Lepisosteus oculatus: one gene and its partners. The protein of the gene in region 2 binds, or shares a complex with, the protein of the main gene of each other region. Links are inferred from orthologs where the notes say so. Each region holds a gene or a part of one and is shown on either strand. Other genes may lie near its edges.

The links. The genes of interacting proteins can lie anywhere in the genome.
Region 1: the proteins of nts (region 2) and ntsr1 are in contact, whole or in part, in a crystal structure (PDB 4BUO), measured with the Rattus norvegicus proteins. The link is inferred for Lepisosteus oculatus from reciprocal best matches to the Homo sapiens genes NTS and NTSR1. Residues at the interface, in NP_001095851.1 of Rattus norvegicus: Arg157, Arg158, Pro159, Tyr160, Ile161, Leu162; in NP_001102437.1 of Rattus norvegicus: Ser53, Asp54, Leu55, Asp56, Asn58, Phe128, His132, His133, Tyr146, Met208, Val224, Cys225, Thr226, Pro227, Ile238, Arg327, Arg328, Phe331, Cys332, Tyr333, Ile334, Ser335, Asp336, Trp339, Phe344, Tyr347, His348, Tyr351.
Region 3: the proteins of nts (region 2) and sortilin are in contact, whole or in part, in a crystal structure (PDB 4PO7), measured with the Homo sapiens proteins. The link is inferred for Lepisosteus oculatus from reciprocal best matches to the Homo sapiens genes NTS and SORT1. Residues at the interface, in NP_006174.1 of Homo sapiens: Leu152, Tyr153, Glu154, Asn155, Pro160, Tyr161, Ile162, Leu163; in NP_002950.3 of Homo sapiens: Val112, Ser113, Leu114, Ser115, Trp116, Lys260, Tyr304, Ser305, Phe306, Gly307, Leu308, Phe314, Ser316, Arg325, Ile327, Phe350, Tyr351, Ser352, Ile353, Tyr395, Gly399, Thr570, Gly571, Leu572, Ala573, Trp586, Trp597.

The regions. Positions count from the first base shown.
Region 1 is NC_090711.1:3,524,753-3,532,457, forward strand, and holds the start of ntsr1 (neurotensin receptor type 1), read right to left. Parts: upstream 3,121-7,705; 5' UTR 2,855-3,120; coding exon 2,183-2,854; intron 1-2,182. UniProt on the Homo sapiens protein: G-protein coupled receptor for the tridecapeptide neurotensin (NTS). Signaling is effected via G proteins that activate a phosphatidylinositol-calcium second messenger system.
Region 2 is NC_090702.1:18,135,946-18,143,710, reverse strand, and holds the start of nts (neurotensin/neuromedin N), read left to right. Parts: upstream 1-4,693; 5' UTR 4,694-4,788; coding exon 4,789-4,849; intron 4,850-7,765. Other genes in the region: rassf9 (ras association domain-containing protein 9), read right to left, coding at 68-114. UniProt on the Homo sapiens protein: Neurotensin may play an endocrine or paracrine role in the regulation of fat metabolism. It causes contraction of smooth muscle.
Region 3 is NC_090700.1:39,850,097-39,857,177, forward strand, and holds the start of sortilin, read right to left. Parts: upstream 3,121-7,081; 5' UTR 2,877-3,120; coding exon 2,601-2,876; intron 1-2,600. Other genes in the region: psma5 (proteasome subunit alpha type-5), read right to left, coding at 5,152-5,229, 6,377-6,463.

The sequences.
Region 1 (7,705 bases), on a different chromosome or scaffold from region 2:
TCTCCTATGGGTGCTCCGGCTTTGTTGCTGGGTAGTTTAATTGGCTTCTGGGAAAACTGGCCCTGGTGTGAGTGTGTGTGCCGTGGGATAGACTGGCGTGCAACCCAGGGTGTACCCTGCCCTGTGCCCGTTGCTTCCTGTGATAGGCTCTGGCTTTTCCGCGACCCTGTACTGGATAAGAGGTTTTTGAAAGCGATTTGGCAGTCTACCCCCTGGGTGCTGCAATGCCTGTGTTACAGGGCTTCTAAAACTCTTCTGTGAGTTGATTTTACCCTCTACACTGCTGTTCTGCTTTTACATTTCTTACACGCTGAGCATTAAAACACAGCAGTGAAGCACTTGTGAAATTGGAAACATTTCAAAGGTACAGTATTTCGCTGCCTGCCTGCATCGGCTCAACAGAAACGCAGATCTTGTCACCTAGACAACCTCATCTTTTCCTTTGGAGATCTCTCCCTGCGCAGGAACACAATTCCAACATTCCCCATGAAAAATACAGCCGAGCCAAGCGGGCTGTCTGCTTTCCCTCTCCTGCACACAGAGTGTGGGTTTTAAAATGGGGAAGAATGCTGCTTCGAGCTCAGCCTCCACTGTATTGCAGACTTCAGGCGGTCCAAACTCTGAATCTCTGGTGGCCGCACAGCAGAGCCAAGCTCCTACTGCCACGTCAGGGTTAAGGTGTATATCTGTCAAAACAATCTCATCAGAACACTCTGACATCGTGGATGTAATTGAAATGCTCCCAGCCCGTGTGTGCAAAGTGCAATGTATCCCATACCACGCACTGTGATGGGATGACTTTGTGAGCAAGAACGCATTTGTGAATATTGCTTATTGCACAGGGTAAAATCTATTGTAATATATTATGTTTTATTGTTGTGGCTATTGCTTTCTGGGCAATTGTAACGCATAATCGGTAGTTCTAATGTCCACGACGTGACCCAGCCGGAGAACATTCCTGAAGTGCGCTCTGTGCTGCGCAGGGCTGGATGGCTGTGTCTTCTAACAGCACAGTTTCGACGCACTTACAGTAGCATTAATTGTGTTGTTTTTTTGTTGTTTTTTTCATTTTCGGGACCAACATTTTGCGATAATTTATACAGAAGGTGTGATCTGTCAAGGGTAAATATTATTCCTGTTAGAATGGGGAAAATCTCCTGTACGACGAGAAGTGAACATATTTAAAAATAACGACTGGACATTTTTATCTTTCAAATTTTAGGTGACTTCTAAGGGTCGTTTTAGAAAACAGAAAACCAAACCTAAAACTAACAACGGTGCATAAATATTTCTTAAGTAAGCCAATCTATTTTTTCCATATATTACAAGACCACACGACTTGTTCTATGTATTAAAGAAGAATGATTATTTTATTTTTTTACCAGTTTCCTCCATCACACAGCGCGATACACGACATGTACTGTACCACCAGAAACCGCGGCGCAGGCAGGTGTAATTGAAGCACTCTCGACTGTAATGACATTAATTATACCCATTGAGCACATTCTTCCGTTTCGTTTTAAACAGTAAACGTCACGTAGAGCGTGTCTTGGTGGGGAGAATAAGTGTCAAGTACTGAGGTATCTGTGTGTTTCTGTTGGATTCAGACAGTCCAGATCTGCTTCATGTCTTTTCTATAAATCTGGACTTTTTTTTTTTTACTCTTACCGGGTTGTTTAAAGGACACCCGTACTGAACAGAGCGACGGAGCTCTCTCCAAGTCTGTCGAGTCCGGGCCGTGTGGAAGTGGCGCAGTGCCGGCCGCACTGCCTCAGCGGCTGGGCCCGGGAGTCGTGCGGTTCCGCTGGGGCCGTTCCTGCTGCCCGCAACGTTAACGGTACATGCCGGCGTTTTCTGACGATCGTTTTATTTTTTTAAAGATGTGGTAAAAGTTAAACAAGCAACAGGTAGTCCTTGGCGCGGGATAATGTTTAAAAAATGTCTTACCGACTCTACTTATGACTTATTATCGTTGTTAGAGTTTAATAACACTACCCAAATACTACGTAACTGTGTTATGAATGTTACAGAACAGGTTTAGGACAGTCGACCGACTGTTTTTACGCGCCACCGTGTTTCTCCACTCGATTCGCCCGGAGCTGAGCTGGTGGCTCGGGTGCGAGAAAAGCGCTTTTTTGTTTTGGGGGGTTTCTTGTCTTGTCGCGAAGTCCCTTTCACTCACCTGCAGGACGATCTTGGCCGTGTGCGTGGAGACTATGGTGGTGCAGATTTGAACGTTGTTGGTGTAAGTCTGGCCCATGGTGAACAGCATGGGGGTCGCCAGGAGAAACGACGCCACCCAGATAGCGCTGATCAGCTTTTTTGTTCTGCTCCTGGACATGATGCTTTTGGCCTTGAAGGGGTGGCAGATGGCCATGTACCTCTCCACGCTGAGGCTGGCGATGTTGAGCGCCGTGGCGTAGGAGCAGCCGTCTCTCAAGAAGTAATACCCTTTGCAAACGGCTCCCCCAAAAGCCCACGGGTAGTGGACCCAGATGAAGTTGTACAGCTCTATGGGCATGCAGAGGAGCAGGATGAGGATGTCGGACACCGCCAGGCTGGCCAGGTGGTAATGCACCGTGCTCTGGAGGTTCTGCAAGGTCTTCCTCCTGACCAGGGTGTACAGCGTGATGGAGTTGCCCAGGGAGCCGACGACGAACAGGGCGATGTAAATGGCGGTGACCAGAGCCTTGGAGTAGATGTCCGTGCTGACGTCCAGGCTGTCCTCCTCGTGCTCCCCGGGCGTCGCGTTCGCCGGGCGCGAGGCGTTCCCGGCCGCCGCCAGCAGGTACTGGCTGAGCATCTGGAAGTCCCGGGAGAAGTTTCGGCCCAGCAGCGTGGAGGTCTCGTCCATTGTGTGGCCGGGCAACTTCTTTTTCTTCTTCTGCTTCTCCTCCTCCTCCTCCTCCCTTTTTTTCCCGGGGAACGCGGGGCGGACGGCGCGGAGAGAGGCAGGGAGCGCTCGGCGGTGTTCAGCGCAGCCCAGAGCGCCGCTCCCCCAGAAGTTGGCTTTTTATCTGGCGGAGGAGGAGGCGCGCTGCCTCTCTGCTCAGACCTCGGGCACTGACGCAAACCACTTCATTCATGAAGTCTGATCGTTTCCCTGTTTTATATAACCAGGTTTCCTCAGATACACCCCCCTCCCCCCCCCCAAAGAATCGCAAACACCTTTAAAAATTAAATGTTAAACGACAACGATTCTATATGCAGGGCGGTTTCTTATACTTTAGGTACATACTGTTATTTACTGTCCATTTGTTGCATCGATGCTGATCTAAAGATGAAACCCTGTCTTTCTGGTGAACAACGATGAGTTTTTTTTTTCAACCTGAAAGCTATAATTAGTAATGCGTACTTGGAGAAACGAATGCGAACAGAGGACAATATTACTACTTGGCGACACAGTGTTGCGTCTGCCTCAGATCTGTCTTATCAACGGCATCTTAGCTTTCTTGTTCATATTTGTATTTAAACTCACGTTTTCCCAAGTAACAAAAGGATAATAACATTTGTGTTTTTGTAACAACAAGGATACTTTAAAACATCACCCGCAGAGCTCAGTTTTGTTCCTCGGGAGGTGTGCCTTTTTTTCGGCGTCTATCGTCCTTCTTTTGACTTTGTGAGTCTTACAGGGTCTACGAGACAGTGAGCGCCGATTCGCACCCAGAATGAGAGGTGCCAGGCGAGTCACAGACGTGCCCGTTTGCCCTAAATCGACGATAACCCTGCAAGCGGAATTCGAATAAATTTTTCTGAAAAATCCCTCTCACTGCTGGCTGACTGTCCAGACTCAAACCAGCAATACCCCGGACATCTGGGCTTAACCGATACAGCAAATAAGCATCTCTACTATTTGAGTGTTCAAGTCTGAATTGAAAGTAAAACCACTGTTACAAAATTTCACATTCCGGCCTTGTACGCTTTTTTTCTTTAACGCCCATACCCGGGGAGAAAAATGACAATGTGATCATTTCTACACAACCTCCTTTTGCAGCACCCATAGTTAAGAGTCGAAACCTTGTTCTCTGCGGTTTAAAAGCCGAAGAGCACTCTTTAGGATTGATGTGGTTTAACCGTTTGAGGGTATGTGGAAGAATGCTGCCGTGCTCAGGCTGAGCGTCCTCACTGCTTGCTAATTAGCCATAGCAACTGTAATACCTGTCCTGCCCCACTTTCTAGAGAACAGCGTGCGTGAATTATAAAACTCATCCTTGACACACACACACAAACAGCCATTCGCCTGTTTTCAATACCCTGGCTCTCCCGGGATTGTCTTTCAATACCGAATTGAAAAGGACACACTCGTGGTCACAACCAGCTGTTCTTCAGAAAACCCTGCCTGTCCATCTCGGACGCGGCGCGCAGAATTTCTCTCCTTTGCGCGCCGAGAAGGAGGCGGTAGAAGTGAGTTCTCGGCACCCCCCACAGGAGGGACAACGAGTTGAGAGCATCTTCCAGTCCAGCAGGTCCTGCCAAGCTGGAATAAGTGCTCCAGCATGCCTGAGGACGTCTAGGCTGATGTAAATGCTCTTGATGTGTGAAGATGGGAACGGCTTTCATCCCCGAACGTGGGGTTTGAATGCGCGTGTGAGCACTCACCGGCTCTAGTGCTCGAGTTTCAGTAGCATGAGCAAATGGCTCTTCTGTCATGATCTGATCTCTGTTCCCGTTCCTTCCCCCATCCTGGTGGTTTGCAAAGAAAGTTTCTAGCACAGGGCCACCCACAGCTGGGAGTTGCCTGGTGGTGTATTTAACATGAGCCCTGTTTTTTTTTAAATAGAGCCTAAAAAGAAACGAATGGAAAATGTTCCGATTCAATAAACATTCCCCTGAAACAGGAAGGGTAGATGAAGGATTTGACACTTTGTCAGTGTGTTTCCCACAAATTACATCAGTGCTTTGGTCTCTCCCATCTTGTCCACTACTTTCCCACAATTGTTTTGGTAAGTATATTTATTGCAAAATCAATGATTTATGATATTGGGAAATGCCCAATCTAAAAGGCAGTATCTTTCTTTACCCAGTGTATTTAGTCACAGACACAAAATTAGCACAGGGTCAGCTGGGATATGTTAGGACACTAAGCAAGGGGATTTAATACAGTACTAATCATTTAAGACACCTAAGTGGCTTCATTTTAAGGAATTTATTTACTAGAATTAGTAGTAATTTAGTAAGTACATTGTGATGGCCATTGCTCTAGCTAACCCACCGATACAGTCAAGCCTTCGGCTGGGGAAGCTGGAGAGACGTCCTTCTCCCAGGATGCAACAGCTGGAGCCCACCCAGGATTCGAGCCCACAGCTTTCCAGTCGGGGTCCAGGGGCCCTAACCTGCCACTAGCTTGCAGCCAGAACAGGACCCGGTGTAAAACTCGCCGTGAGTTAGCTCGCTGAGAAGTGTATTCTGAGAAACTGAACACGGACACATTCGTCATTTTGAGGTGACGGGTTGCAGGAGTGGTCTGGTGGCACAGGTGAGCTGCATCTGCCTATAAACATTGATAAATAAGTGATTCTTCCTTTACTGAACTGGGCATATGGCTTCAGGTGTGTTTTCTTCATGTATCATTTTCTCCTGTTACGTCATATTTAGTCCTTTTTTTGTTGTTTGTAAATTATGAGACAGAATTCAATGCGGTATGGATCTTCAATGACTTCTGCAAGCCATTGGAATTGTCACTGAAACTGCACCATTGGGATACCATACGTATAATATTGTGCTGACATTATGTGTTGGAAGATCTCATGTTCAGACAGTGGTAGAAGTGCAACAATAAAACAACATGCGTGCCAGGGGTTAAATTTGATCATTAGCGGAATGAAATGCGAGTCAAACTGGGATGAGTCACCAGTGTCACCTAATGACAACCACATCTGTCCCGTTGAGACCTGAATACAGGAGCAACTAACTTTGGTCATCGTGGTTGGTGATCAGACCAGTTTTGTGGTTGTAATTAACTGAATCTCCTCCCAAAAGGAATTAATGGAAACCATGTGATCGGAAATAAGCACTGGAATCCAGTACCAGAAAAAAAAGTCACACTTCAAGTGGTGTACCTAAAATGCCCATCACTCCGACGGCTGTGAAATGAACTTGTTAACACGCCTCAAACACAAGCTCTCTGGTGTCTGCAGCCCAACCACAGCAAGTCAAGTGAGTACCGCTCTCGAACTGAATCAACGGGGGTATTAGATTGAGCTGAACCAGTTTTCTTAGAACTGAAAAGGAAAAGGTGTCTTGACACCTGAGTTCTCGGCTTGCAGTGGTCCATCGGCTCCTGGCTTTCTCTCTCACAACGAGGCCGTACTATATTCCGGTATTCCGGAGCTGGTTAGGAATTCTAGGTTAGCTTTCGGGATGCTCATGGGAATAGGACAAACCAAAGTGTGAAATACAGCAGAACAGGAACAAAAAAGACCTTGGGGGGGGGGTGGGGGTTATAATATTTATTTTTTATTGTCTAACCGCCCACAGTAGGCTGTCAGTGAGTTGAAAGCAGCAGTGTTCCAGCGTCCAGTCAAGGATGGGGAAAAAAACGAATGAGTCATCGCTTCACCCGTGTTTGATACCATTTATACTCCGTACGTCAAAGGGTTTCACTGCTTCGTTAATCTGTCAGGCCTGTCCCCCGGCCTTCCCAGCCCCGGTGGCTACAGTAATTACGGTACTCCAGGCACAGCCAGATGAGTCAGAAGACATATCAGAGGGCGAGCAATTTACATCCATTTATTTGACATTAAATGCCTCAATGATTCTCTACTTTAGAATTCTCCCTCCCTGGCCCCTCCATCATTTTGGAATCTGTACTGGCCGGGTAAACCGGCTCTGTCTGTTGTGACCCAGGTTCGAGGCGACAGTGTCTGGGTCCATGTCTGGACCCCTCATGGCCGGCTGCTTGGGTGGTGAGGCCGCTGCTACGAATGATGAAGGAGCTGGTTGACGCTATTCCAGCAGCCCTATCGAGAAAACCACGCGCCCTGGCACTGAAGAATTTGGTCGGGTTCACCAGTGTGACCCCGAGGAACGCCGCACGGTCACAGCGCCCTCCTGAGGATGCTGCGCTGGCCAGCCCCGGCTTCACTCACTCAGCAGCATGAGGCTGGGCGCAGTCCTCCACAGCCCCGGGGGAGTGTGTTCCTCGTGGTGACCCGTTTGCCCTGAGGGTCAAAGCCTGCCGAATGAGAATTGTTTTGATCCGAGTTCAGTCCGGCCCCACGACCCCCGCTGTGTGGTGTGCACACAGCAGAGGGTGCTCAGCATGAGCACGTTGAAAGCTACAGCACCAGGTTTGCCACAAAGGTCTGGGTGGAGTTACTTATGATCAGCTGCCTCATTTAGTCATTTTGAGATTTCAGCAGGTGTCATGAATCAAAGGCAGCAATGTGTGCTGCTAAACAAAACTTGAGCTGTATTGACATCTTTTCAGTTTATTCAATATTTCGTGTTGTTTGTCGTTTCAGTTCTGTGCACCTCTACTGCTGAGGGTGTTCAGATTATGACAGCAAGAGTAACTGGAATTCACTCACCAAACGCTAAGCTTTTTACAGGTTTGCAGACATTTAATGCCACAGAACAATCAATGTAATGGGAGAGAAAGGAGAGCTTGATTTATTTAATTTGACTTACCAAGCGCTTACTGTATAAAAGAACAATTCAAAGAATGCAGCATTGTGGGATTGTTACTATTATATTCCATGGTCCA
Region 2 (7,765 bases):
GCGTTAAAGTACAATAGTGAAGCGGTCAATAGTTCAATAAAGGGAAAAATTCGAAGGAATAAATTACCTATTTTTCAGGCGCGCTTTTAAGAAATTCCTTCCAAAGGGAGCCATGGTAACTTGAAAGACTACAAAAATCCCAGGAGATGTTAAACAAGGAGCATGATTTGACTGTAGCCCTTACAGTTCATAGCAGCGAAAGACTAGACTGAAGGTGGGGGCGGACTTGAACTGTTAACTTTGTTCTCTCTTTGGTTTAGTTGTACTTGAGTAGCCCGTCCCATTCCTACACTGAAGGTGGCGTTATGCAAAAAAAAATCTTTCGAATTAGTACACTACAGCCCTCGTACATCCTTGTTTAACCTGTTCTTCAAATACATAGTATAGTCATAAAAAAGTATTGATCCATAAAAATGGACTGTGGAGACAAGGACTATGTAATAACATGGATATCTTTATTAAAAGCCTTAAAGATAATCACATACTGTACAAATAATCACTGCCACGTTGCCACGTTCAAAACAAGGTAGAAATGCAGTACTATAAGAAACACAAAGGTATGGATGTATGTAACATCAGCCCATTTTGATAAAGATTTCACCAAGGCAAGCGAAATGGATGAGAATATTAGTAAAAAACAATCAATTGCTCTTATTGATTTTTAAGAATTTATCATCGTCAAGCATTTGTTATCATTCTCATCATTGGAAAGTATTTTAATATGAGAAATCAAACTTTTACTAAAACTTTAGAATATTCAAAGTCCAAAGAATTTTGTGAATTTATGTTTTGGACTTTGAATAACAATTTACTTTTTTCTTTGCATGGAATTTGGAGGCAGCTGATCTGCAACACTTGAGGGCAATCATGTTTACATCTTTTATGCATTTATTTACATACATGATGAAGTCATTATTTATTTATTTGCTTAGCAGACACCCTTATTCATTCAGTGATAATTTCAATTTTAAGTTTTAGAGCAAAATCTGAATGACAGAAAATCATCGTCTTCTTCTACGCTGTTCTTTTGAATTTACATGTGTTCTGCATTCGTATTTGAGTGTTCATGCATGCGTTAGTATGGGTTTTGCTCGGGTAATCCGGTTTCCTTCCACATTCCAAACACACTCTCCCAAAGTTAATTATATAATAAACATGATTATGATATAATAATTAGTATTTAGTAATTGCCCTCTGAGCTATGCAATGAGCACTTGTCATGTCCGGTCTGTGCTATGACTTTGCGACCTGTGCCTGAAGGGTTGGCTCTCCTTCTAGTATTGACAGACTATAACACGTGTAAGAAGACAATATGTTGTGAATATTAGTCAAACGTAACTTATTCTATAAATCTTCTTGAAAATATGTTTTATTATTTGTCTTCATGTGTTATTTTCTGCACCAAAACATAATTTTGACATTTATAAGGGTTGGCAAGTTATTTTATCAGAGCCGTGAATTATACTAGCCTAAACAGATTAAATGTGTGATCGTTTATCCAACTATTTACTTTGCATGTAAATACATGAATATTTTCCCTTGGATTTCTAAAATCTTGCATCAAGTGGTGCATACGTAATCGTCTGTTAGTGTTCAACGTGCAGTTTTAGATTTCAACGGCACCTCATACAAGTACAGTATTTAGAAATCCTCAGACATTGACAAAGTCAGTCAAACAAAAGAAACATGGTGGAAGTGCATCAAAAATGAAGAACAGAAGGTAGATCTTTACCCAAAGAATTGTAGGAGCATGGCTGAAGCCATGTTGTTAAAGCCAATACCCTGGAATAGCCGGATGAGATAATTGGATCAATTAAATACCAATGTACCAAATGGTCTAGATGGGCCGTAAGACTACCTTTTCGTTTGTAACCTTTCTTATGATCTTAAGAACAAACATTATATGCCGTGGCTCAGGAAGGCCCAACAGACATCTAGAACGCGTGTTCATTTTATTGCGACTGAAATATTTGATCAAGTGTTTTAAAAAATTGCTGGCATTTTTATACCGTACATACTGTAATTCATTTCTGAATGCCAACATTTAGAAAAAACAAACCGTTGCACGGATTTCCAAGTGGTGGCACAAAAGAGTCAAATTCTGTACACCCTTTTGAAACGCTGATCAACATAAAAAAAAACGTCTTTGTTAGTAGTAACCACCTTGAACAGCAAAGCACTCCTGTTTTATAACTTAACGTTAACAAGTTCTCTTCACTGCCTCTAATCAGATCAGTACACATGACATATTTTATTGGACAACTGAGAAAAAAATATATCGTGATACGATCGTATGTATTTGATAAAATCACATTATTAAATTAACAGATTATAATGTAAAACTTTAAATAAGGAAAATTGTCTTTCACTAGCTTGTTCCAATTTTGCAATGATACAATTGGTAGTGTTAATTCATCCTCTGAAATTCTAACATACAGAATATAAAGGAACAGATATTGCACAATAGCTTTATCTTCTTTTCCTTATGTTTGAAGTTAATCTAGACATTCACCATCCTCTTAAATCCGTTGCGTTAATGTCAAACTACAGTAGATGAACATGTAAACGTAACCATTTGCTCAAGGGAGACGACCAGTGGGTATCTTGTTACCTGCAATAGTTAATGTCAGGTGTCATATAATTATTTTAAATATGAAACAAATTATTATTTTATCTCGTAGTGTATCTATATCGTACAAATTTGTTTATTATTGGTGACAATTAAAGATACATGTTTTTTTCATTGACAAGTAAGCCCAGATAGTAAGGCTATTCAGAAGTGAATAACCCATAGGGAGTTACTATAATAGAAGTTCTGTCTTAATTTATGTAAGTGATTTCAGATTTTAGCACAATAAAAATATACTAAAAAGAGAAAAATGACACGTTTTATTAATCCCAGTAAATAAAATATGCAGTTGCAGTACTTCTGCAGAATCTATTCTTTCATTTAGTTTCACAGTCTGCTCTTAACACAACATGCCCACTACCAGTATGAGAAAACTGGAAGCCTGATATTCTTGGCACCAGATGAATTTGGGCTGAACCTGAGATGGGTTCTCTTGGTATTGCATACAATTAAACACAATCATGAGTTCTAGAAAGTGGAATACTATTGTTTGATCATTGACAAGGCTGTGTGAAATAGAGTCATCTTGCACTTGCTCTTGGTCTTGTTTTTGGCATACCCTAACTGTACATTTTTTAAATAAAGTTTAAATAAAGTTCTGGTCATAAAAACCTTTTTGTAGAGAAATGCTGAAATGTTAGCATTAAATATACTATATAATAGAAGGGATATATATGGCAAATTATTAAAATTTGCATAAATATCTGCATTATACATGAAAGATATGAAAATGCTGTCCAATGCCTGCTCTCTACATTTTACTGAGATCTTTACTGAACTTATACAGCATTATACCTCATACAAAGCACTGCACTCTGCCAATACTAACCTGTGACAATAAAATAAGTATACTTTCATTCTCTACTATTACATTTGATGTTCATTCTAATATTAGCTTTTAGGTTCCAATATTTTGTGACTCTTATCTTAAATATATTAAGAGTATAGAAGTGGCATTTTTTTAAAAACTGTAAATCCTACAGTACACTCATCCTTAACATTAAAGAATACATTTAGATACAATATACATTTCAAGTAATAGACTTAAAAATACTGTAATTCACCAACTTACCCAAGACATTCAGTGGAGATTCCACGAAACATAATGCATAGAAATGTAAACTCCATCATAATTTTTGCAACACTGTTGAAAGTTTCTTAAAGGCTTTTAAGACGGCTGATTAAGGAGATTTTAGGGTAGTGAAAAGGGGCTATTCACATATTTCTTACAAGTCCTGTAACACTACCTGTGCTTATACTGTAAGTAGTTTTTTTTATAGTTTTTATCAGTATACAGTAATTATACTATATACAGTATCAGATATTGTGCATATACTGTATAACTATAAACATATAAGATGTTTGAATCATTCTACATTCTGTAGCATACAGTACAGTTAAACACAACCAGGAGCTTGTGGGACATGCAGCCCCTTTATAGAATTCTTTATATTCCCAAATGTGTATTTACCCTTGTGACTGCTTCATGTATCTCTCTTCTTTTCCATGCTGTTTTAAACCCTTCTTTCACACAGAACTAACAAGGTGTATATTTCAATGATCATGGCAAGATTTGGCAAGAAGCAAAATGGTGCTTTTCTTGCTTATGTTTCTTAATGACCAGCTAGACAAAATTTATAATCTATCCTTAGCATTGCATGCAAATTGTTGAAATGCTTCCTTTTTGTCAGTCAATAAGATTCTCCCAAATGATTAATGATCTAAGGCAGACATTGATTGAACATTGAGTGAGTAGTAGCTAGCATTGTGTCTTCTCTTTTTCACATTCTTGTGAGAAATTTAAAAAAATGTTGTTACATTTCCACAGAAAGATCACATATAGTTAGATTTTAAAAAAATTAATTGATTTAAATTTCATAATGATATTAATTTCAGTTATCAAAGGGCAGATCTGCCTGCTTATCCAATAGACAATGCGCAATACATTTAATGAATGACGCCTTTCTTGAATTTGGGTAGTACAGTAGAGGGGGTGGAGTGTCTTCATGACATCATGCAGCTGCCTATATACTGAGTGAATGGAATCCTGAGCTCCTTATTCTGCACCCAAGCACAAGGAGAGTGTTTTAGTTCTCTCCTGATCCTTTCCATATGGACTTCATCATTATTTAGACAGAAAATAACTTGGAGTTCACACGATGAGATTTCAACTTATTTGTCTGGTGCTCCTCTTTGCGGCTTCTGATGGGATGTGCTCAGGTGGGTGTCACTAATTTATTTACTGCAGCAGGAAAAGGCTACACAGGCAAGATTTACAGTAGGTGTCTGATCTGAGATAATATAAAAACAGTGTTTTCTTTTATCAGTGTTAATATTCTGAGATTTTAAGCTTTTAAATGTGTTTTTTTTATTGTGTGTCTTGATGTGTACCATCACTACCACTATTGCTACTGATGCTACTACTTGTTCTTCAAACATTACAAGTAGTTGTGATTGTCATTATCATCTGTGGGAATCTACATTTCACCATAACTTTCCCTATAAATCCTTGGTTATGTAAAACACTTTGTCTTTGCTATTTTCTCTTACTTTTATCAAATATTTATAGTTAATAATAATAAAACACTAGAAACAGATTAGCAAACAAGACTAGGTTCAGTTGCAATGCAATGTAATGTAATGTAAAACAAATAACTGAAAGAATATTACATTTACATAAAAAGATTAAGAAAAACATTAGTCTGAAATGACTTCAAAGAACGTTTTTTTTTTTCATCTAAACAATGCAGTACATAAAATTACTTTTCCTTAACAAATAGACTCATCTAGAGTCTATTTGTCTATATTGGTCTATTCATTTAAATAGACCAATATTATTTTTAGCATGTGAAAACAATATTTAATGTTGTACAAATCTAAAAACAAATCTCTGCTATTAATCAGGTCTCACATTTGCTATATTTATACTTTATATTGCAGGGTAGGATGAACACAGAAGAGAGTGTATTGCTTTTGCACATTAAGTCTCTTTGGATTTTGTTTTTACACTGATATAAAAACTTTGTTATGGAAACTGGTCTTTCCAAAGTATTGAAGAAAGTAACATGGAATACACATACGGAAACCTTAATAATAAAGGATGAATCCACTAAAGACATATTATAATGGTAGAATTATTTCACGAGAAATAATTTGAGAAAAATTAAAAAAAGCTGAAAAAATAATTTAAAATGTTGAGTTTTCTGGAAAACTATTATTTTTAAGTTAAATTTAAATACAAAACGTTCAACTCTTAATAAGAAAACAATGTGATGTGTGTCGTAGAAGTATGAAAATTATTTTTAACAATGCGACATTAAGAAAAAATACATTGAAGTGTATAATGCTGCAAAATAAATGTGAAAATGTGCTTATAAAGATCTCAATGAATTCTGCTGTTAAATTAAAGTAGTTATTTTTTTCAGTTCAAGTTACATTATGTTATGAAGTGAAATTAGTCACATAAATGCTTATCAAAATCCTTCAAATTGTTGCATGATCAAAAGTAATTTCTGATTTCTGAAGACATGTTTCTACCAAAAAAAAAGATCAAAAACGATTATCACTAGGAGACATATATTCCTGAATTGCCTATTTTAATGTGTAATACATAAATCATTAGAATAATGGTTTTTACATACAGATATCAGTACTGTAAGTGCTGATATCTCAAAATTTGATTGGCTCCCTCATGCTTTCACCTTTCTTGTGAACCTCATATTTGCTGTTTATTTTCTGCTATTTTCAAAACTAAATCAAACCTTCGACATCAACACAACTACCAATATTCTAAATTACAACAGCTATCCATCCATTCATTTTCTAACCTTTTTTTTCAATACAGGGTTGTGAGGGAGCTGGCGCCTATTCTGGCAAGAAATGGAAACAAGGCAGGATACACCCTGGGCAGGACACCAGTCTATGACAGGACAAACACACACCAGAGCCAATTTGCCCATAAACCAATTAATCTACCAGTATATCTTTGAACTGTGGAAGGAAACTGGAGCACCCAGAGCAAACCCATATAAACACATAGAACATCCCAGGAATCGAACCCAGGACCCCAGCACTGCTAGGCAGCAATGCTAATCACTCCACTACCATGCCACCCACATCAGATATCCTAGAATCCAATTTTAGAACACATATTGGATTGATTTATTAAAAGTACATAACTTGGAACTATGGAAATAATTTAAAATAATGACTACGAGTCACTTTTATAATGAATGAAATAAGGAAGAAACACTATATAATGAATTAAATATCTCTGTTAGAAATTATACATATCAAATGATCACTAAATCCCCCAAATTCGTAATGAATACTAAGTGAATTGTGTAGTGAACAAAATGTTATATTGAAGTATAAAAGTATTTTATTTCTGTATTACGTTTGTTAAGAAAAAGATATTTGATAGCCAAGTTAAGAGTGCCTCTAATTTGTCTCTCTTAATATTACTTCAAATTCAATCACCAACTGTTAAGAATTCCAAGGGACCAAAGGATGTTTTGGGCTATTGTTATGGCCCTTGCTCAAGCACTTCAAACATTTTTGTTAAAAGCTCTACTTTTTTTATATACTATTTTTTTCTTTGTCCTGTTGTTTCAACATTACATTAAATGGGGCAAAACAATTATGGCATTTTGTTTCCCGTTAAACAGGTAAATTATAATTAAGGGAAAATATTATATTGCTGAAACATTTCACCATTCTTGATAAAAAGATCATAGAAAAATCATAATATTTATTTCTTATCACGGTCTAAATCATGAAGTTTTACTTAGGGTAGGTTTACTAAGTAAACGCATAAAATTAGTGACTAGTGGCTTGTTTGTTTCCTAGTAGCTAATTGATCCAAAGATCTTATCCAGCAGTTCATTGAAAGAAGCCAGGATATCAAGGCTGTGCAGTTTGTTCCTCACTCCCACAGTCCTTATCTGAGTTTCAACTTGCAGTGAATTATCCTGGACATGATGGGAAAAAGACTAATGACATGTACAGTATTAATGATAACATTTGTAAGTTTCAGACCAGTAATATTTTTAGCATGGTTTGTCCCCATCCAGCATTCAATTAGTTGTTTCTAAGGTATCTCACAGTAACATAAAAGCTTCACAACACACAGGCAAG
Region 3 (7,081 bases), on a different chromosome or scaffold from region 2:
GCGTAATCCAGCGCAGAGGCTCTCGGACAACAGCTAGAAACAATACGCAAGATGCGTTTCAAAACGCAAAAACCGTCACACCGCTGGATGGCTACAGCCTGCATCTTTCTGCGCACAAGAGCAGCGGACTTGACTGGGCTCTGCGCGTCAAGACCAGGGGATATCAGATGGAATCACTAGGCTGACCACACACGTCACAGCGTCGGGACAGGATTATAAGCTCCACCGCTGTTTGCCTGTGACAGTGCCCAGCACCAACCCCATTACCCAGGGCTGAGCGAACTCGGAGCCAAAGGCAGCCCAGAGCACTGCTGTGTCTCGAGCGCCTGACTGTCAGGCTCCGTTCTATTCCTGTCCCTGTCCAACAGTGCACAGCCTGTCGCAGCCCAGTGCCGAGGACCAGCGTCTCACTGCGGGCTGGTGCCGGGAGGACACGGCGAAGCAACACGCCGGCTTGCTCCCTGAACCAGCCCACCTCACCGGAGGAGCCGGGGAAGCAAAGGAAGCCGCAGGGGAGTCGAAGCTGGGGGTCTCGTTTCTACACGCCCCCGAAATCTCGCCGGGCTCGGACCTCACTCACGCCCAGGCCATGAACAGCCCCTCGTGCTCAAGAGAACAGGCTGCTTCAAGCGCCGTCTTTGTTCACGAGAAGCAGGCTGTTAATCCTCAAGCTTTCGTTTCTCTGAAATTTGTGGGATAGTCAGGTCTAGGTCTTGTGATTGTTCCCGTGAGCGAAGCCAAAAGTCTGACCCCGCAGGAACGCCATCAAAAGTGTTATTTTGATTTCTCCCGAGTTCTCGTCAGCCTCTAACGAGTGCCTCAGCAGATCAGTTCCCACCAGGCAGGAAGCGGAGGAATGGAGAGGGCGCTGGGTGGTGGTCACAGCCCGGGGCTCTTAACTGGAAAGCTCTCCCCTCTGGACAGGGTTCAGCTGTACCTTCGAGCGAGGTGTTCAGTATGATCCGATTTGTGGGTGGTTGTGGTTTAAAGACACCTAAACCCTGTCTTCAGCCCCGGTTTGCAGTCAGCTGCTGTTTATACCACAAGGTCACACGTATGAAATCATACGTACACTCACCTGGTCACCAAAACCAGCAAGTCAGGTAATAATCCTGGCTGACACTCAGGGGCCTGTCTGTTAGGAAGGTGCTGTCCTATTTACTGACCAGAGAGCGGCAGGGCTTCTCGGTATAGCGCAGGGATCCCCAACATTTTCCAGCAGGGCAGGACTCCGTTTCAATGCATCACAACACATCAGTGTCAGTAAGGACCCTCGAAACTTAAAGCCCATTAAGAATAACAATTACTGCAAACCGAAGCAACTCAGGTCGGTGCTGCAATTGTGAAATAGAGTGTCGTGGGAATAGCGAACGTTTTGCATATATTACACATTTATAAAGACGTACTGTGCTGTGGTCGACAGCGCTTCCGCTCCTAAAACGTTTCCATTAATATCCCACTCGAATACAGCAGCGCCTATAGCCACACACACACTTTCACAGCGAGGTGTGGGGGCAAACAAGCCGGGCTATAGCTTTCTCCCTGCCCTGCCCTCACAGGCAGCAGAGCCGGTCACTGCCACACACGGGCGGGCCAAGAGTTTTACCTCTCGGCGAGTGGCGCGGCGTGTCAATTACACTTGGCCCCTTAAATCTCCCGTGCCCGCTGCGTCCTTCCCAGTTAACATCCGTCTCTCCCACTCCACCCCCGGGACTGAACATCCGGCGATCGCCGACTCCCCCCGACACAGTTCAAGATTCGGGACGGAGCCGAGCCAGACCACGGTACTGACACACTGACAACCCCGGCGGCACACCGAGACCTGGCTCGTCTGTGGATACGGGGCCACCTGCGAGAACACCGCCTCTAGATAAATTATTAAAGGTTACCGTATCACTTCTGTTCCCCTATCCGTTGATGGTGTCGGGACACTTCAAAAACAAGCGACACCGCATCTCCATATGCATGAACAACAACAACAACAAAAAAGAAACGGAAACATAAAGCATCTGGAATTTAAAGTGCGAATTGCACAGCGGGAACTGAATACCTCATTTGCAAGCGCTTGAATTTAAGGTTAAGCGCACCTTGAACCGCCGGGGGGCGAACCTGCAAACACAATCAAGGATGGAGCTACCCACTGGGCGAGACGGGATCATTTTAGTGTTATAACACCGCTCTTTTTTTTTTTGGTTTTGTTTTGCATTGCACTCCAGAGAGCAGAATATTGACGTTGCTACGACTACTAGTGTCGCGCCGTGAAACGAGAGAACTGAGATGACACGCACCTCGGCGAGAAACAAAACAGAGGGCAGGCTGCGGAGAGGCGCTTGGCTGGGCTAACCCTACTAGTCCCCGGTTTAAGGAAATGCCTGAGGAGGCTGGAGTACAAGAACAACAGGACGGAGAAGTGTTTTCTCTGGAAGGGAGAGTACCAGGACGTTCCGTTCCCCGGCGCCGAGCTCGGAGCCCGGCCAGGCAGCTGGGACCCCGGACCAACACCGTGCGCGTCGGCTGTGAATCCAAGCATGCCCCCCCCGAGCCTCCAGCGGGCACGGGGGTAGGGGACAGCCAAGCAGCCGGAGCCGTCGTCTACTCACGGTGTGCGTGTTGCTGCCCAGCCTGGACTCGTATCCTTGGAGGGCTCTGCAGCTGTCGGCTTTGTCCGCGCTCCTCCGGCTCACCCTGTGCTGCCCGGAGCCCCCGGGCGACTCCGCGCTCGACGGCCAGGGGAAGCTGAAGACATCCTCCAGCCTCCCGGTCTTGACGAACGTGGACTGCACCCCGCGGCTGGCTCTGTCGCGGAAATCCACGCACAGCGCCAGTGGGAACAGGAAGAACACCACGCAGCGGCTGCGGGGGATCGGGAGGCGCATCGTTCACGGGAAGGCGAGGGAGCGAAAGCGCTTGAAAATATATATGTTTTTTTATTTAAAAAAAACGTCCATAAATGCCAGGCCGGTTTTTGCGAGCGGTCCCTCTCAAACCACAAAGGTAATGTAAACACGCACAACCCACTAAGCCAGCAGCAAGCGATATCCAAGCACCAAACAGCACATAGGAGTTAAGCGGCTTTGAGGGTGGAGATTCACTTCACACCACCTACCTCCCCCAGACGGCTAAGCGATTGGCTGCTTTGACGCTGAACGCCGGTGCTGATTGGCTCTATTCAGCTATCGATCACACGTACAGCCCTTGGACTTGGGAGTGATTTATCTCATTGGTGGATTCAACCCCACCTCGTTGAACAGCTGAGAGGCCACGCCCACTCCGCAAATCTGCCTATCAACGTGGTTCCCATTGGTTGACGTCTCTCGGCCGGAGGATTCTTTTTTTTCCTCATTGGCTACACTCGACAGGGATCAGGAAAGAAATGTGATCCCCGAACTTCACTGTCAACAATTAAAAATGCAGTCAAGGTTGGTTGGCGGCTATGCGATGCCCCCATCTCCTGCGAAAGATCACATTGCAAGTGTGTGATTTTGATTAAGTAACGTGATATTTGTGACAGCGTCAGAGGCAGTGTGGCTCAGACATATAATTTGCTTTTCCCATCCGCGGTAACATCAAGTCTTACTCTACGGGTGTTAACTAGATGAGTTTCTGAAACCGGAGACCAGCACACAATAACAGTACAACAGACACAAACAAGTGCTTCTACTTATTCTCTGAGGTTTAATGATTAAAAAAGTATTTAGATGTATACCGTATCTGCAGAGTTGCGACTAAATGTGTCGTAAAAGCATACGACATCCAAGTTAAACTGCTCCGATGTATGGAAAATAAAATTAAGACACTTCCTAAACTTTGTACATTTTATGAATGGGTCTTGAACTGCAGCGCCTCGGAACTCTTTATTGCAATTAGTGGTACGTTACTGCTGTGGTTTCTGTCACGTGACCGAGCAGCCAGACAGATCTTGCAGAATTACTGTTAAAATAATGATGCATTATTGTTCTGCACAGTCGCGTCAATCTCTGACATGAAAAATATCGAGACTGCCGAAGCAACTGAAGAAAACGACGGTACTTAATAACGGCATATCTTAAATTACTCAATAGTGGCCGCACAGGGCGCGGGTTTCAACACTTACAGCTCCGCTCCGCGCCAGCTTCATGCCAGTCCACGGGCGGGTAAGTAAACGCTACTGCAGACGGGTCAGTTCAGCAGTAAAATAAGTTATACACTTTAGAACTTCACTTCATAGCTCAGGACGAACACGGACAAGACGGATTAACTGTACTGCGTTTTCCTAGCACTTTAATTCCCACCTGGATTTTTTTAGTAGAGGTTTTGTGCAACAATGCATTTGGACCCAGCGCCCAGTGTGCCCTTTCAGCCCAGAACATTTTGTACCACGTTTGTACCAGGCAGCGGCCCAGAGACCTTCCAAACTCTTGACAGGATGAGCAGTAGTGCTGCCAAACTTTTGGTCCACATCAGTTGCACTTTTGGCAGAAAACTGAAAGACTGAAAAACTAACCTACCAGGAACTTCTAACGAGAGGTAGTAAATCTCCTCTGTAGGTGGCCTTGTGCAGCAAACAAAATGATTCGCAACACTAAAGACATTTTTTAGTGGCTCAAAGTAGTACAGTATTTTCCTAATGTGCCACATCAAATAAATAAGGTAAGGACAAAGGTCCATTTCAATCTATCAGAATCAAACAATTGGGCAATTATACTGACTGAATTATAAAATATTTAATTCTTGCAGGTCTATCAGATAGGTCCAGATATGCAAAGACAACACAGTTGCCAGATCACCCAATGTGTTCACACATTGTGCTCTGACTTGCAAAGGAACAGACCAGGAGTCACGTATGCGATATGTTTTGGAATACAACAGATTTATTGAGTCAAGTTGTAACAAAAATTACACATCACCCCTTTTTTTGCCTTTAGTCCCAGTTCTCATGTTGTGCTGTATTATGTACAGACTTGTAAAAATCACAAAAGAAAGGAAGAAAAAAAAATACAAACAGTAGATTCCTGCTTATTCACTGAAACCGCATTACTGTGTGTGCGTCTCAGGAGAGCTAAAAAGGCATTGGTTACCATCTCTTGCACCGCAATCCAGGAACGTCTGGTGTGCTCGACTGTTGTGGGAGTCAGATCTACTAAAAATCCGTCAGTGCCAGCTTGCTGGACTTTAAATATCTTTAATAACCTCTTCTAGCTCTTCTTTCGTGTACATGTGAAATGTCTTCCCAGGCTCTACTGTAGCAAGCTGTCGGAGAGAAAACAATATTAATACTTATGATGACTGCCCAAACAGCCCCAACCACAAGCCCACATGATGTGGCCAAAGTCCTGATATCCCTCTGGGACAAAATGCATTTGTGCACGCAGAAGGCATTTCTTAGAAAACTGTAATTATCCATTCTGGACAGTCCCAAGTGTGTTTGGAGCTTCTGTCAGTTTTGCTAATAGTAACTGCAATGTGAGGCATGTTCTTTAGGACACACTGTGTACGCGCTATTTCATAGCTTTTTGCCTCCTACAACAAGCGCTATTTTTGTAAGCTGTATTCTATTTTATTAGGTAGCTTGCTCTACTGGAGGTCTCCTGGGATGAAACTGCCTGCCAAACACAACAGTACTTGTTATAATCAACACTACTTGGTAATAGCAGCAGCAGGGGAGGATTCTCACATATCGCACAATCCTGAGAGGTAGGTTTAGTACTCCATCACTCATACAGAGTCACAGATCACAAAGCTGCACACACTGGGCTGCACAACACGTTCAACCTAGCAGGTGGAGTCCTGCGTCCCTCCATTTCTTTCCTCTCATTTCCATTGAGCTTCCAAAGCAGATAAACGGGGAAGACGTGTCTGGCTTTCAAAAGCAGTGGGCTCTATTAAGAAGTAATTAAAGGTCTTAAATAAGCTGCTTCAGCAGAAGCAAATATAAAAAAACTTAGACTCACTTCCCCAGTACTCTGTCCTTGATGTAACAAATATGTAACTAACAGCTGAAATCACTTTAGACTGCATTAAATGCAAAGTTAAACCTGAAGATGTTAAAACACCATGGATTCAATTCCACTAAAGGCCTGAAAAACGTGAACCCCGATAAAAAAACTGCAACCTGCCTGACAGTAACTACAATCTTATAAACCCAGCACTTCATACCGGGCGGGGATCAACAAGGTAAAGAAAACCACCATCAGGGCACAGGGCTTTCAGGACAGGAGGCCAGAAATATTACAGGTCTCCCCTGAGCTGCTGTTGGGCTTGTGAGACTACTGGGTGGAAGTCAATGCATTTGTCTGCAACTGGCTGGATCTGTGAACAAGATGGATCTCAGGGATGTTGGAAGGGAAAGAGTGATATACAGGGGGTAAAAAATCATCAGGAAATGAAGATCATCTACCTCTATGTTTGTTGCATTCAGTTTTTCCTCCATGACCTGCTTCAGGATGGTGAGCGAAGATTTGATGGCATCTTTTAAAGTCATCGACTGGAAAAAACAATTTATGAAACAACACAAAAAGATCAACATTTGTGGGCTTCAGGTTTTCATCCTGATATTTGCATTGCTTCTGCTTGTTCCACAATCTCTTGGAAGGGGAGAAAAAAGAAAAAACAAGGAAATTTTGTTCTTGAATATCAAAATGAGATTATCCATTCACTGCACAACAAGGCAAGAGTCAGATGCTGTTTCTAATGACAGGCATGTGATGTAAACGCACTAGTCTGACAGGATGCTAGGCCGCAGCGACACCCATGACTGCAGACTGACGAGGGGCAGTACCAGGAGACTGAGCCCGCCTGTCTCGTTGAGCGGTATCAATCCCAGCTGCGGGGCTGTTGAAGGTTGAGCTCTGCTCCCTGGATGTTACAGCTACACTCATCCCGGGCAGGACAGCGGTCTGGGGGCTGTTACAACACCATCCCTGCTGCACAGACAGAAGACAGCTATTCCCTGGCAGCAAAGGCCAGACTCCAGACCAGGGGAGATCCCAGTCGTGTAGCCACCTCAAGTCACTTGTTTGTACAAATCAGAAGCTTTTGTAACTCCCGTAAGTCATGTATCAATTAAGAAACTAATACACTTGATCTTAGCCAAAAGATCGAG